2 linked regions of the Xenopus tropicalis genome follow. The main gene of each other region encodes a partner of the protein of the gene in region 2 in a complex. Links are inferred from orthologs where the notes say so. Each region holds a gene or a part of one and is shown on either strand. Other genes may lie near its edges.

Evidence for each region. The genes of interacting proteins can lie anywhere in the genome.
Region 1: the proteins of map3k3 (region 2) and ccm2 are in contact, whole or in part, in a crystal structure (PDB 4Y5O), measured with the Homo sapiens proteins. The link is inferred for Xenopus tropicalis from reciprocal best matches to the Homo sapiens genes MAP3K3 and CCM2. Residues at the interface, in NP_002392.2 of Homo sapiens: Asp2, Glu3, Gln4, Ala6, Leu7, Ser9, Ile10, Met11, Asn12, Asp13, Leu14, Val15, Ala16, Leu17, Glu50, Asp82, His84, Met86, Asn88, Glu89, Leu90, Ser91, Ile92, Leu93, Arg117, Leu119, Leu121, Ser122, Gln123, Asp124; in NP_113631.1 of Homo sapiens: Leu299, Tyr302, Met303, Leu306, Arg307, Ser312, Gln313, Ile315, Gln316, Gln317, Phe318, Ala319, Ala320, Leu321, Leu322, His323, Glu324, Arg326, Glu333, Ile336, Asn337, Gln340, Leu341, Leu353, Phe356, Pro358.

What each region holds. Positions count from the first base shown.
Region 1 is NC_030682.2:12,528,223-12,534,427, forward strand, and holds the end of ccm2 (cerebral cavernous malformations 2 protein), read left to right. Parts: intron 1-254; coding exon 255-312; intron 313-666; coding exon 667-802; intron 803-888; coding exon 889-1,027; intron 1,028-1,474; coding exon 1,475-1,779; 3' UTR 1,780-3,911; downstream 3,912-6,205. UniProt on the Homo sapiens protein: Component of the CCM signaling pathway which is a crucial regulator of heart and vessel formation and integrity. May act through the stabilization of endothelial cell junctions. May function as a scaffold protein for MAP2K3-MAP3K3 signaling.
Region 2 is NC_030686.2:17,071,499-17,077,814, reverse strand, and holds part of map3k3 (mitogen-activated protein kinase kinase kinase 3), read left to right. Parts: intron 1-2,480; coding exon 2,481-2,580; intron 2,581-3,974; coding exon 3,975-4,088; intron 4,089-6,316. UniProt on the Homo sapiens protein: Component of a protein kinase signal transduction cascade. Mediates activation of the NF-kappa-B, AP1 and DDIT3 transcriptional regulators.

The DNA.
Region 1 (6,205 bases), on a different chromosome or scaffold from region 2:
AGGGCAATTTCTTCAAGGAGTTTCTTTTCCTGTGTGGGTTTCCTCATACACCCCAAAAACATACAGGCAGGTTAGCTCCAATAGAATCGACCCCATTGTGTATGCAACGGTGATAGATTGTAAGCTCCATTGGTGCAGGGACTGATGGGAATGATTTATATTCTCTGTGGAATGTGTCGGTGCTATATAAATGAAGGATATATATTTTCTTTTATAAATAAAGGATAATAATGAGCTTTCTCTGGTTTTTGCAGATGACTCTTCCACCAAAGTGGATGTGAAGGAAGCGTATGAGCTGGAAGCCAGCACCTTGTAAGTCATCTCCGGGAATCGGTATTTTTCAGATGCTGACAACTCCCACATGCCATAAGGTTTCATTAGGAAGCAATGGGAGTTCAAGATGGCGAAATAAAGAATATGAAGCAGTTGCGCGCCCCCTGCTGTTCTGCTTGGCTGGCCATTCATCCTTACTGAGTAGAGTAGTGCCTCCTGATGCTTTGCTGCTCAGATTTATCACTCGGCTGACAGTGAGCAGAAAGGGGCAGTAGAGTTGGCCAGTCCCCAGAGTTAATAAAGCCACTTCCAAAGAACATTCTAGAAGGAAGTTATGTTTAGTGTGCCCTGTAGAGGGATAACACTGGTAGCTTTTCTTTTTTCCCTTTGCAGTTCTTTCCCTGAGTCTGTGGACGCCGATGGTAATTCCCCAACCTCCCTCTCCAATCTCCATTCCCCTAACAAGACGGCCAGTGAGAGTGAGCTGAGTGCCACTGCCGCCGAGCTGCTGCAGGACTACATGATGACGGTAAGAAGCCTCGCTGTATGTGTGCAGCATAATAGCGCCCCCTACTGTGTGCACCACTGCCCACCCCTCTCTCCTTGTATTTCCAGCTGAGGACTAAGCTCTCGTCGCAGGAGATCCAGCAGTTTGCGATGCTGCTTCACGAATACCGCAACGGCTCCTCAATTCACGAGTTCTGCATTAACCTACGGCAGCTGTATGGGGACAGCAGGAAGTTTCTGCTGCTCGGTAATGAGGCGCTGGGGGCGGGGCACACATCTGCAAAAATGTTTGCTTCTTACTATGTACTTGGACTTATTTTTTATATTGTTCATTTTGCCTTCAGTTTGTCATGGTACAAAGCTTTGTCTTTGCTTACTGACTGCTTTTGGGCTGCTCTCTTTCCTGTGGTCAGTTGGGAACAGAGCTTGGCTGGATGCTTTTCTTATTGACCCGTGTAAATGATCGGTTTGAACATTAGGGGAAGTCCATTCTTTATCTGCCATGCTATAATGATCAATGTACACTAGGCACCTCTTTCATTTGGATCCAAGCCCCATTTCTCATCCTGACCACGGGGAGGAGAGCAGCCTGAGGAAGTGACATAAATATTCTGTGCTGTGTAAGTAAAAAAAAAAAATACCATAGAGGTTCATGAGTGTTAACAGACAGTGTGTTTTTTTTTTTTTTATGCAGGGCTCCGCCCCTTCATCCCAGAGAAGGATAGCCAACATTTTGAGAACTTCCTAGAAACCATAGGGGTAAAAGACGGGCGCGGTATCATCACAGACAGCTTTGGGCGGTACAGGCGGACAATGAGTTCCACCTCCCATTCCACGACCAATGGAAATGGTGCAGCGGGGGGCTCGGATGACCAGTCGGGGCCCTCTGAAGGGGACGAGTGGGACCGGATGATTTCTGACATCAGTAATGACATTGAAGCCCTTGGCTGCTGCATGGACCAAGACCCTTCTCACGGGGGCGCTGTAAACTATTCGTGATTGGCTGGGCATGGACCCGGTCAGGTTTCCTCACCAGCATAAAGAACCAAATAAGCAAAAGATGGCGGCCGAGTTGCCACGTCGTTCTATTTTTTTATCGCGTTCTCTATGTAAAGCCAAGATTGTATCCCCAAGCACTGGCGCCATCATACGTGCCCAAGTTTTGGTTGGGCCGAAGCTCAGCGCAAGGTGGACTTGCCTCCGACGTGACCCAAAGCAGGAATTAAACTGCGTTTCCCGCCATTTCTACGGAAACGATGGACATTTCGTACGTCAGCGGACGGACCAGTACAATCTCTGGGCTGGCGGTTGTTACACTCGGACCGTACTATTTTCATGCATCAATAGAAGTCAACATTTACCACAATGTGAAGAACACAAAGCCGCGAGCAGCGCTGAAAGCGTTTGGACCAACGCCCGGTGACGGTCCCAGCGGCTTCCTTCCCATCAAGGCAACACTAATCCTGTACAGATATACGAGTGAGGGCTGTACAACAAACACACAGGAGACAGCAGCGGGCATCTCTCTGGCTCTTTTCCTCTCTGTGCCGTGCCGCCATCTCTAAGGATTTGCCAGCAATGCAGGAAAGTGCGTTTCTGCTGTTGCTTTACTGCAAATGTGAAAGGTCATTCATTGGCAGCTGCAGGGGCTGCCTGGGAAATCCTGGAAGATGGTGGCATGGCACTCACAGGAAATGTGCCCTGAGCAATGTGGAGCACTGGCCTAGGGGCCAAGGTTTGCGCTTATATTCACTGGGGGTAATTGCCCTCCCCCCGCCCCTTCTTTTCTGGGGATCATTACCTATTTTTATATTCTGTCTGTCACAGATACACAACCCCTAGATCCAGGGGAGTGCTGGGAGTTGTAATATGGCAGAAGCTGCTGCTCCAAAGGTGTCCAATCCCTGTTCCAATACATTCCTGGATCACCAGGGACAGGGGATAGGTTAGCCAATGCCCTTCGTGGAGGCGGCCATCTTTACTTGGGCTCCATGTTATATGGGCAGAGGGGTTTGCATAGAAACACAAGCTGTTTACAGGCATCGCCATGGATTGCTACACACGTAACACCCACAATGCATTGTGTTGCCACACGCTGCTCGCGCCGGAGTGCCAAGACATTTTGTGTTACAGAACCGAGGTTTTATTTTTCATTTTTGTATAATTATTTTGTTGCAGTGTTTTTATCTGCGTACGAGGCCTGCCCCAACTTCCTGCCATTGCCCCCCAGTCACTGTATAGATATTTATATCCCCTGACTTCTCGGTGCGGTGCAATGCAGCCCTCCGGCTCGGCCCCAGGCAGCCACACCCACATTCCAGCTATGAGTGCATCTGGCGCGTGGGTTCTCCTGTTACATCTGTATCCTGTTTATTTAGGGATAGACCTGTATCTCTTTCCATTGCAGAGCCACCCCTGGATATGTATTATGGTCTCTTCCAGAGGAAGCAGATACCTACTGACTTTCCAGCTGGGGGGCCACGGCCTCTCTTATTGCCCCTGCTTATATATGAATTGGGACTAGCATCACCCCCTTCCATGGCAGCAGTTCTGTTTAAAGGGGAAGTAAAGAATCTGATTTCTGCAGCTGGTTCTCATCTCTTTGAAGGGGCTGCAGCGTTCAGTGTGTAGGGGTGTCAGGAAGAGAATTGGGGAGGGGACTGTAACTATGGAACTGTGAGCATAGCATCAAGTCACAGAACTGCATGGTGTGTATCATTATAGAACACAGAGTAGGGGGCACTAACTAAAGGCAGGGAGGGGGTGGCAGTGGAAGGGGCTGTAACTGCGGGACAGTACAATATAATCTTCCCATCAGGCCTTGCATTGTCCAGCAGTGATGTTTTTGCTGTCCTAGAATCCTTTGCACCGTCCCCCCCCCCCCCCCCCATTCTGTTACAAGGTCAGACATGCAGGAAGCAGGGGAGACCCGTGGGGCAATTTGGTTTATTTGTGAGACGCACTGACTGTGTTACTGATGGGTGTGTGTAGTTGTGCGAGTGTCGGGAGCCAATAGGAATTGCCGTGTCTTTTTATTTTTGCAGCTTTGTGCATCATTTCTGTTTACCCTTTATGATTGGATACTTTTTGTATGTAGTATTTTTACCTGTAAATACATGCGTGCATCTAAAGGCTTCTGTGTGTTTGTTTTTTGTACCCCCAAATCTGGCTTCCCTGTTTGATTGCAAGCTCCTCGGTACACAGCATGTTCTGGGTTTATGGTAAGTACCAAGTGGAGCACAGATATGTGGGTGCATCTGAAGCATCCTGGCCAGCCATTAACATTATGGCACTTCCTTCAGTGGGGGAGATGGTTCTACTTAACTGAAGGGTAGGGGGCGCCCTTGGCTCTGCACTGTATTCATTATGCTGTAGGGAACGGTAATGTCATGTGTGGAGTAGAGACTTAACTGAAGAATTACACGCCCTCCCCTGGCTACAGACAGGGGGCAGTATATAGAAAAAATATATAGTCCCCAGCCCTACAGGGAGCCCTAGCTAACCCAGAAACCCCACCCCTAAGAGAAAGGAGTGGAGGTGTGGGCAACTGCCCCTTGCATAATACTCTGCCCATTGCTAAATGCAGGGGGTAAGGCGGGGGCAACAGGGCACAGCCCAAACATCTACCCCCTAGTGGAGGTAGGAGGATTAATTACAGTGGATTGGAGCTTTCCTGCCTACATTTCCTAAGGATGGGGCAATATGTAAGTCTCTCTGCCTGGGGGGGGGGGGGGTAGAACCCTGCCAGCAGCTCTCCCTACAGGGTGCAAGACCCATGGGTGAACTCTGCACTGATTCCCCTATTGTAAATGAAGCTGCCGTGTATCCTGCAGCAGTTGCTAATGAAGCTGCCGTGTATCCTGCAGCAGTTGCTAATGAAGCTGCCGTGTATCCTGCAGCAGTTGCTAATGAAGCTGCCATGTATCCTGCAGCAGTTGCTAATGAAGCTACCATGTATCCTGCAGCAGTTGCTAATGAAGCTGCCATGTATCCTGCAGCAGTTGCAAATGAAGCTGCCATGTATCCTGCAGCAGTTGCTAATGAAGCTGCCATGTGTCCTGCAGCAGTTGCTAATAAAGCTGCCATGTATCCTGCAGCAGTTGCTAATGAAGCTACCATGTATCCTGCAGCAGTTGCTGATGAAGCTGCCATGTATCCTGCAGCAGTTGCTAATAAAGCTGCCATGTATCCTGCAGCAGTTGCTAATGAAGCTACCATGTATCCTGCAGCAGTTGCTAATGAAGCTGCCATGTATCCTGCAGCAGTTGCTTACACTTGGTGTGGGACAGATTTAGCTGATGAGTCCCATTTGGGTATAGAATCCACTGGGCACACTTTGCTATGATTTACCCTTGAGCAACTGACATTTCCCATACTTGCCGCAACCTACTGGACAAACTGGAAATTACAATTAGCTTTATACAAGAGAGACTTGCCCTGCACACAGGTAGCCCTTTCTCCAGCTGAGCCGTACATATGGCCGCACAGCCGCTGTCAGACACTGTGATAGAAAGAGAGCCAAGCGGAAATGTGGGCTGAGAGAGTTTCTATCTTACTCTCCCCTAGTGATGCACTAAAGCACTCATTTGAGCAGTCACTATTTACTAACATTTCAGCTGCTTTTTGTGCATAAGTTTGGGGAATTTGCCATTTTTACAAAATTTTAAATATGTGGGGTTTTTCCTGTGATAATTTGTCAGGATAATGCCCCTCCCACAAGGTGCTGGTTCTCAAGAATCTGCCTTTCCCACACAGTGCAATGCCTCAAGTAGCACCCATCATATGATTCTCTGCTTCAGTGTAACACCCCTCCCATGAGGTGCTGGGCCTGAAGATAATGCCCCTCACACAGGGTGCTGGGCCTCAGGTTAACCCAGGATGCTAACCATACATAACAGTCCTGAGCTTCAGAATAGCACCTATACCTCGCAGTGCTGGGCTCTAGGAAGATAATCCTCCACAAGGTGCTGGGCCTCAGGATGACAACCTTTCTACAAGGTGCTGGGCCCAAAGATAACGTCCCTCCCACAAGGTGCTGGGCCCAAGGATAACGTCCCTCCCACAAGGTGCTGGGCCCAAGGATAACGCCCCTCCCACAAGGTGCTGGGCCCAAGGATAACGCCCCTCCCACAAGGTGCTGGGCCCAAGGATAACGCCCCTCCCACAAGGTGCTGGGCCCAAGGATAACGCCCCTCCCACAAGGTGCTGGGCCCAAGGATAACGCCCCTCCCACAAGGTGCTGGGCCCAAGGATAACGCCCCTCCCACAAGGTGCTGGGCCCAAGGATAACGCCCCTCCCACAAGGTGCTGGGCCCAAGGATAACGGCCCTCCCACAAGGTGCTGGGCCCAAGGATAACGGCCCTCCCACAAGGTGCTGGGCCCAAGGATAACGGCCCTCCCACAAGGTGCTGGGCCCAAGGATAA
Region 2 (6,316 bases):
GCCATATGACTTGTACACTTATAAACTTCAGTCACACTTTACCGCTGTGCTGCAAGTTGGAGTGATATCACCCCCCTCCCTTTCTTCCCCAGCAGCCGGTCAGCAGAACAATGGGAAGGGAGCAAGATAGCAGCTACCTGACACCTGTATTGCTAAAAAGGGGTAGATATCAGAATAGCACTCAGCAGTAAATAATATTAGACCAGCTTGGGACTCCTCCAGTTACATAGGAGTAGCAGAAACAGTTCTAATGTGTAGAACTGGCTACACACCAATATTGCATCTTGAAAATTTGTTGGTTCAAGAATAAAATGTAAATGGTAGAGTACATTATAAACAGTGTAATTAAGAAATACAAAGTACACCATGTGGGGGAGGGCTCTGGAGGTACCAAGCTATAAAGAAGGGTTGAGTTCTCCTTTCAGAAGAAATGCTAGCTATGCTTTGGATGTCTAACAGGGTAATGGCAGTCATCTTTGCAATCACAGTTGCTTTTAACATCACTTGGATGTGTAGTGGTTTGAATAGTTAAACTGGGCATCTGTTTTCTGTCCTGGTATATGGTTTCTTGGTTACTAATAATAAAAGTTCCTATATGTTGCTTCTTACTGAACATTGGGAAAACGACTGGGTGATTGCCCCTTTTATAAATTTGTGTGTTGGATTAAGAGGAGTGTTACATGCTATTCCAAAATTAGTTGAATTCTGTTATTTTGCTCTATTTTTTTTTTTGTTTTGATGTTAAATAATGTTAGCCTTGTATTACAGTAAAATGTATTTAATAGTTATAACTATTTGAGTTTTGCCTCCTATTCCATTATTAAAATGGGAAAGCATTTATTATTAATAATAATTGTGTTCAGTCTGTTCATCAAATTGTTAGGGTATGTGGAACCTTAAAAATAACATATTAAGTTTCAGTTCTAAAGCTCCAAACTGCCCATGAAAACAAGGCTTTTCAAGCACAGTGATGCACAGTTTTGGTGTCCTAGATTTGATTCCATCCAGGGCACAGTCTTCAAAGACTTTCTGTGTTCTTCCCATGCTTGTATTTTTTTTTTCTGGGACAGTTTTCCTTCCACATTGCAAAAACATACAGACAGTTTACTTGATTAGATTGTAGTTTCCAATGGGACTGATGTTATAAGCTGGAGCTATATAAGTAAAGAATAATAACAATCGTTAAATAGAATTGGAGTGATAAGCCATCCAGTATGAATCAATCTACCAAGAGATGTTAAGGCCAAAATCTGTTTGTACTGGCACATCAAGCACCTTTTTTTAGAAGCATCAATGATCACCCCTTGACAAATACATATTAGATAACATAGAATAAAAATGCTTCAGATTTAACTTTAGCATCTTTATGTATAACATTATCATAAAATAAAGTATAATAGAGTCTCTTTAAGAGTCTTCTGTATGGTGATAACATAAGAAAAAGTTAAGGTAAAGTCTCCCAATGAATGGCCTGATTGTGAACTGGCATTGCTACGTGCCCTGGTTTCCCTCCTCCTCATGGTGTTTGCATTTACAGACAGGAGGAGTGAAATGGCCATGTGGTTGCTTGGAGTCTGCCAGGTCTAACCACAAATATGTAAGATGGCCGGAAAGTGAGCTGAGAGGATTTGGCTTTGGGGAGGCCTAGATAGGACTCTATAATACAGCATCGTGAAATTTAGCTCATTTCTATTTGGGATCCCAAAGTGCTTTTTAGTTTTAGCTGAATTTTCATCAAAGGCTGATACAAAATATTTCAGGAATGTTCCGTGTGGTTTCTTTTCTTTCCAAATAATGTATCCCAAACAGGATTAAATAAAACATGGCGGCTGTAGTTTTTACAACTGTGCCAGCCTATGAATTAAATATGAATGCAGTTCTTATGTTAGTATACTTAAGCTAGTAGCACACAGGGTGTTTTAATCATCTGTCAAAATGCTTTTTAGCAGCAGCTTTTCGTCATACTGAATAGAGAGGATGGCTGCCCTATGGCACTTTCCATATCCAGTAGGAGGTTAACTGGCTGCAGCAATGAAAAATGAAGGTGTGCCATCACCCTTAATGCAGCAAAATCCAGGCAGACTTGTCCCATAACTGACAATGCAGATAACTGAATAGTATTGTTCCTCTCATTTCAGCTGATATCTCAGTAGAGGGGGTCTGTAAAAGAGGGAGATGTGATTTAATTCAATTCTGCATGTGTCAAGATGACATTCAGTTTGGCCAGATTTACTGAAATCCAGTTGATAGAGAATCAGTAGTAGAGCACCTGTACCTAAAAGACCATTTCAACAGATATGCATTTTTGTCAATAGAATTTACTTGAGCAAGAGTAGAGGTATAAAGGGGAGCCATACAAAGAGTGAGCTTTGTACTATATTTTCCCTAGATTTGCAGCCTTTACAATTTATTTTTCAAATCCGATTTCTTCAAATATTCTCTTTCCCACTTCTCTGATTTTGTGAATTGCCTTTTTTTAGAATCCTACAGTTTTCTAGGCCTGTAAAGTTTGAAGAGGTGGAACAGAAAGTAAAGAATGTCTTTGGGCAACAGCTGGATCTCTATTACATGAACAATGAGGTAGGTAAATCAGCACAAGAGACGTGGAGTTTCAGATGTGCACAAATACAGTTACTCGTGGGATGAATAGACTTTGATCACATACGGAGCAATGGAGACCGAGTGCTTCTCCCCATTGGTCCATATGTGAGCTAAGTGGGTGCATATGCATGCGCATGGGGAGAGTGGGGGGGAGGTAGGTGGGCAGAGAAAGGTGACAGCCTCGGGCTGCCAGCCCTGGCTCCACATAGGACTATTTTGTTGCTGCCCATATTCGAATGAAGAGCTGACATGTTCATTGTGATTCTGATTTAGCTACAGATTATATCTAGCCCTGCCCTATATAAAGCTGTGCCTTCTCATAATAATAAAAGCACCCATAAAGACACTGTCATTGATTGCAATGTTTGACTTGTTAAAGCAAGTAAACAACACAGGCAACAACATGTGCACATTTTTTTTATTTATTATTTGTTATTATTATATTGCTTATACGTATACTCCGTGTTTTACATTAATGATAGACATTCACATCAATCCCTGCCCCAGTGGAGCTTACAGGCTAAGGTCCCTATATCTACACACACTAGGGTAAATTTTGCCAGAAGCCAGTTAACCCAATACTATTTTTTTAGGGACTTATAATTGAAATGAGTATATAAAATTGATAACTAGACATAAGTCAACCTGTTCTTCAGCATGTTAATTAAAAACTCTTAGCACCCCTAACAGCCCTTCACTGGTTGTGGGACAATGGGATTTTTCAACATTTAAAGGTATACTGGTGGATTCATTTTTTGATCAGTGGGCTTTAGTTTTTTTGTTTCTGTACTTATATCACACTGACCTCTCCTTATTAAACAGAAACATGTAAAGTATTAAGTATTATTATGAAGCTACGAAAAGGTTCAGTCACTCTGTGGAATAGTTCAGAGGAATAGAAGTAGTGGTACAAAGTTTCTTCAGGTCTTGCAAACAATCAGCAGTAAACAATGTCTTGGCTACTTCTTAATATTTAAAGAAAGCATCTTGTTGTTATGACTTTCACCAGCAAATGTGTTGGCAGTTGCCATTAGCCCCCATAGTTTAGTGATGTCATCAGTTATAATCAAATCTTACAGGCAAATTTATCAAAATGTGAAAGTAAAGCTCACCACAGAAGAAACTTACCCACTTTCTATTCAATCCTATGGGATTGAGTTCACCATTTGATAAATGTGCTTCTAAAATTCCCATAGAAATAAATAGAAAGTGGTACATTATTCACTTTATAAAGTCAGAGAAATGTCTGAAAAAAGACAGTGACAAAATGCAGACAAATCTCCAGGTCTTCATGGGTAGGTGTCATGGTGCACCTACATTTTAATATGTCCTTTAAATGCCATGTCATACAGGTCTTTTTTTACTTACTGTAGCTCTCCATTCCCCTCCGAAGTCAGGATGACCTGGACAAGGCTGTGGATCTTCTGGACCGGAGTTCCAGCATGAAAAGCCTCCGGATTTTGTTGCTTTCTCATGATAAGAATCATGTAAGACTTGAGTTGGGAAACTTTGGGTGATCTGTCTGTGGATGACTTATATCTGCCATAAAAGTAGTGCAGGGTATTTGAAGGCCTAGACCAGGGGTACCCACAGTTTGTCACCCTGTGGTCTACTCTTGCCATCTGGCCTCCATCATGAGATCTACTTTAATAAAAATAGTTGATGTTTAATACCTAAATACACATAGCAATATATATAAATGAAGTGTCAAATTCACATTTAATGCTCAGATAACATTATACAAGATCAACACAGCAGTATGGCTGCAGTCATAAGCTCTGTTATGTTGAGGCACAAAAGAAGTGGTGGGATGGCATCCCACCTTGTGGTCTACCAAAAACTTTAAAGTGATCTACTGGTAGACCACGCTCTACCTCTTGGCCACCCCTGGCCTAGACGTATCTCTTGACCAACTCAATTTACAGGGGCAGACAGATTCCTTTTATTATGCACCATATTGTGATGTAAAGGATGGTTATTAGGCAATTGATAAAAAAACATTCTGTAAAGCAAACAATCATTATATTATTTATTCTAAAAAGATATAGCTTTGTGATTACACAAGTGCAGCATCTTAGTTTTAGCCACTAGGACAGAAGAAAATGACTGCATCCTAGTACTAAGAAAGTATTATCTGCTGATGGCAATGTTAAGCCTCAAAGTGCAATGCAGCAAAAGATATCGGTAGAGGTGTTATTGTCCTCGCCCATGTAGGTTTTGTTCTGACTAGGTAATTACCATTATATTTCCTGCCAGTCTGTCATATAGAGAAAAGATAGTGATCTTCTACTATCCTCTATTTATTTTCTCAGAACTCTTGATCACTGGTGCAAACCAATTAAATTTCTCTTATGTCATGGGGGACACAGGAACATTGGGGTAAAGGGCCTCTCCCGCTAGGAGGCAGGACGCTGCAGTGATGTCAGAATTGTTGCTCCTCCCTCTCGCCTTTTACCCTCTTGCTTGGCTAGCAGAGCTCTGTTTTCAAAGTAGGTTAAGACTAGCCTCTAGAGAGGCTCTGCACAAGGACTACATTGGTCAGTGGTTAGCACTGACAACTGGGGTAAGACCAGAGTCAGCAACTTGTTTGCACTCAGAATGTCAGCCCCTTTTGCAGGATTCCACTACTGTGCCCAGGTTATCCCTGAAGTTCCAGTAGGTAACCCCAGGCCTGGATTTGTGGAAAGGCCACAAAGGCCCGGGCCTAGGGCGGCACAAGTTTAGGGGCGGCATGCCGCCCCGCCGCAACAGAATTTTTAAATTTGGCTCCCATACGGAGCAGTCAGGACCTCTCCCCACTGCTCCGTATGGGAGTTTAAATGTGCGATTGCGCATGCGCGTTGATCGCGCATGTGCACTCAGGGGGAGAGGGCGCCGCGCGTTCGGGGCGGGGGCGGTCTCGGGGCGCCGAGAACTTAAATCCGGCCCTGGGTAACCTATTTGGGCAAAAGAATGTAATGGCAGAGTCTGGGGTGCCCCTTACTGGACAGGAAGAGACGAGTGCTATTCGCTGGTTCTCTCCACTGAGGTAAGCGGGCTCACTTCCCCTCCCTCCCCTGCCTTCAGTTAGCATGCGCCATTAGCTTCTCACGCGATGATGATATCATGGCTTCCCGCCTGCCACTTCCAGACGTGATCTAGTCAGAAAAGGCGGGTCTTCCTTCTTCACGCACACCCTGACACAGGCACAGCTTTGATTCCTCTTTTTCGCCTGTACCAAGTGTCTTATCAAGCTTAACTCCAGACCCCCCTGAGCTTTCCTCAGTGGGAACATCTGACAAACCCACTGTGGGCACTTCCCATGCGGGGGTACCAATCTCACAGGCCTCCTCTGATGCACCCGCTTTAGGCCATCTCATTTTCTCAATCCTTATCAGGTCTCCAATGCATACCACAATTGGCATCCTCAATTGACAGGATGCTGGTCAAATGATCAAATCTTCCAACACCTTCAGCCATAAAAGGGAGGTCCTGGTCGAACGGAAACAACCTTAAGGGCCCTCACTTTAAGCCAACCCCCATCCGATTCCGAAGGGGAAGATAATTCCCTTAAACCTGCTTCCAATGTTGACCACCTCATACGGGCAGCGTTAGAGGTATTACAAATTGAAGGAGCCGATTCTGTCCAAGACAATGCTAAGAGTCCCTTAAAGAAACATCATAAGACTTCTGCCACATTCCCTGCTCAAGACCAATTACAGGCACTAGTTCAGGA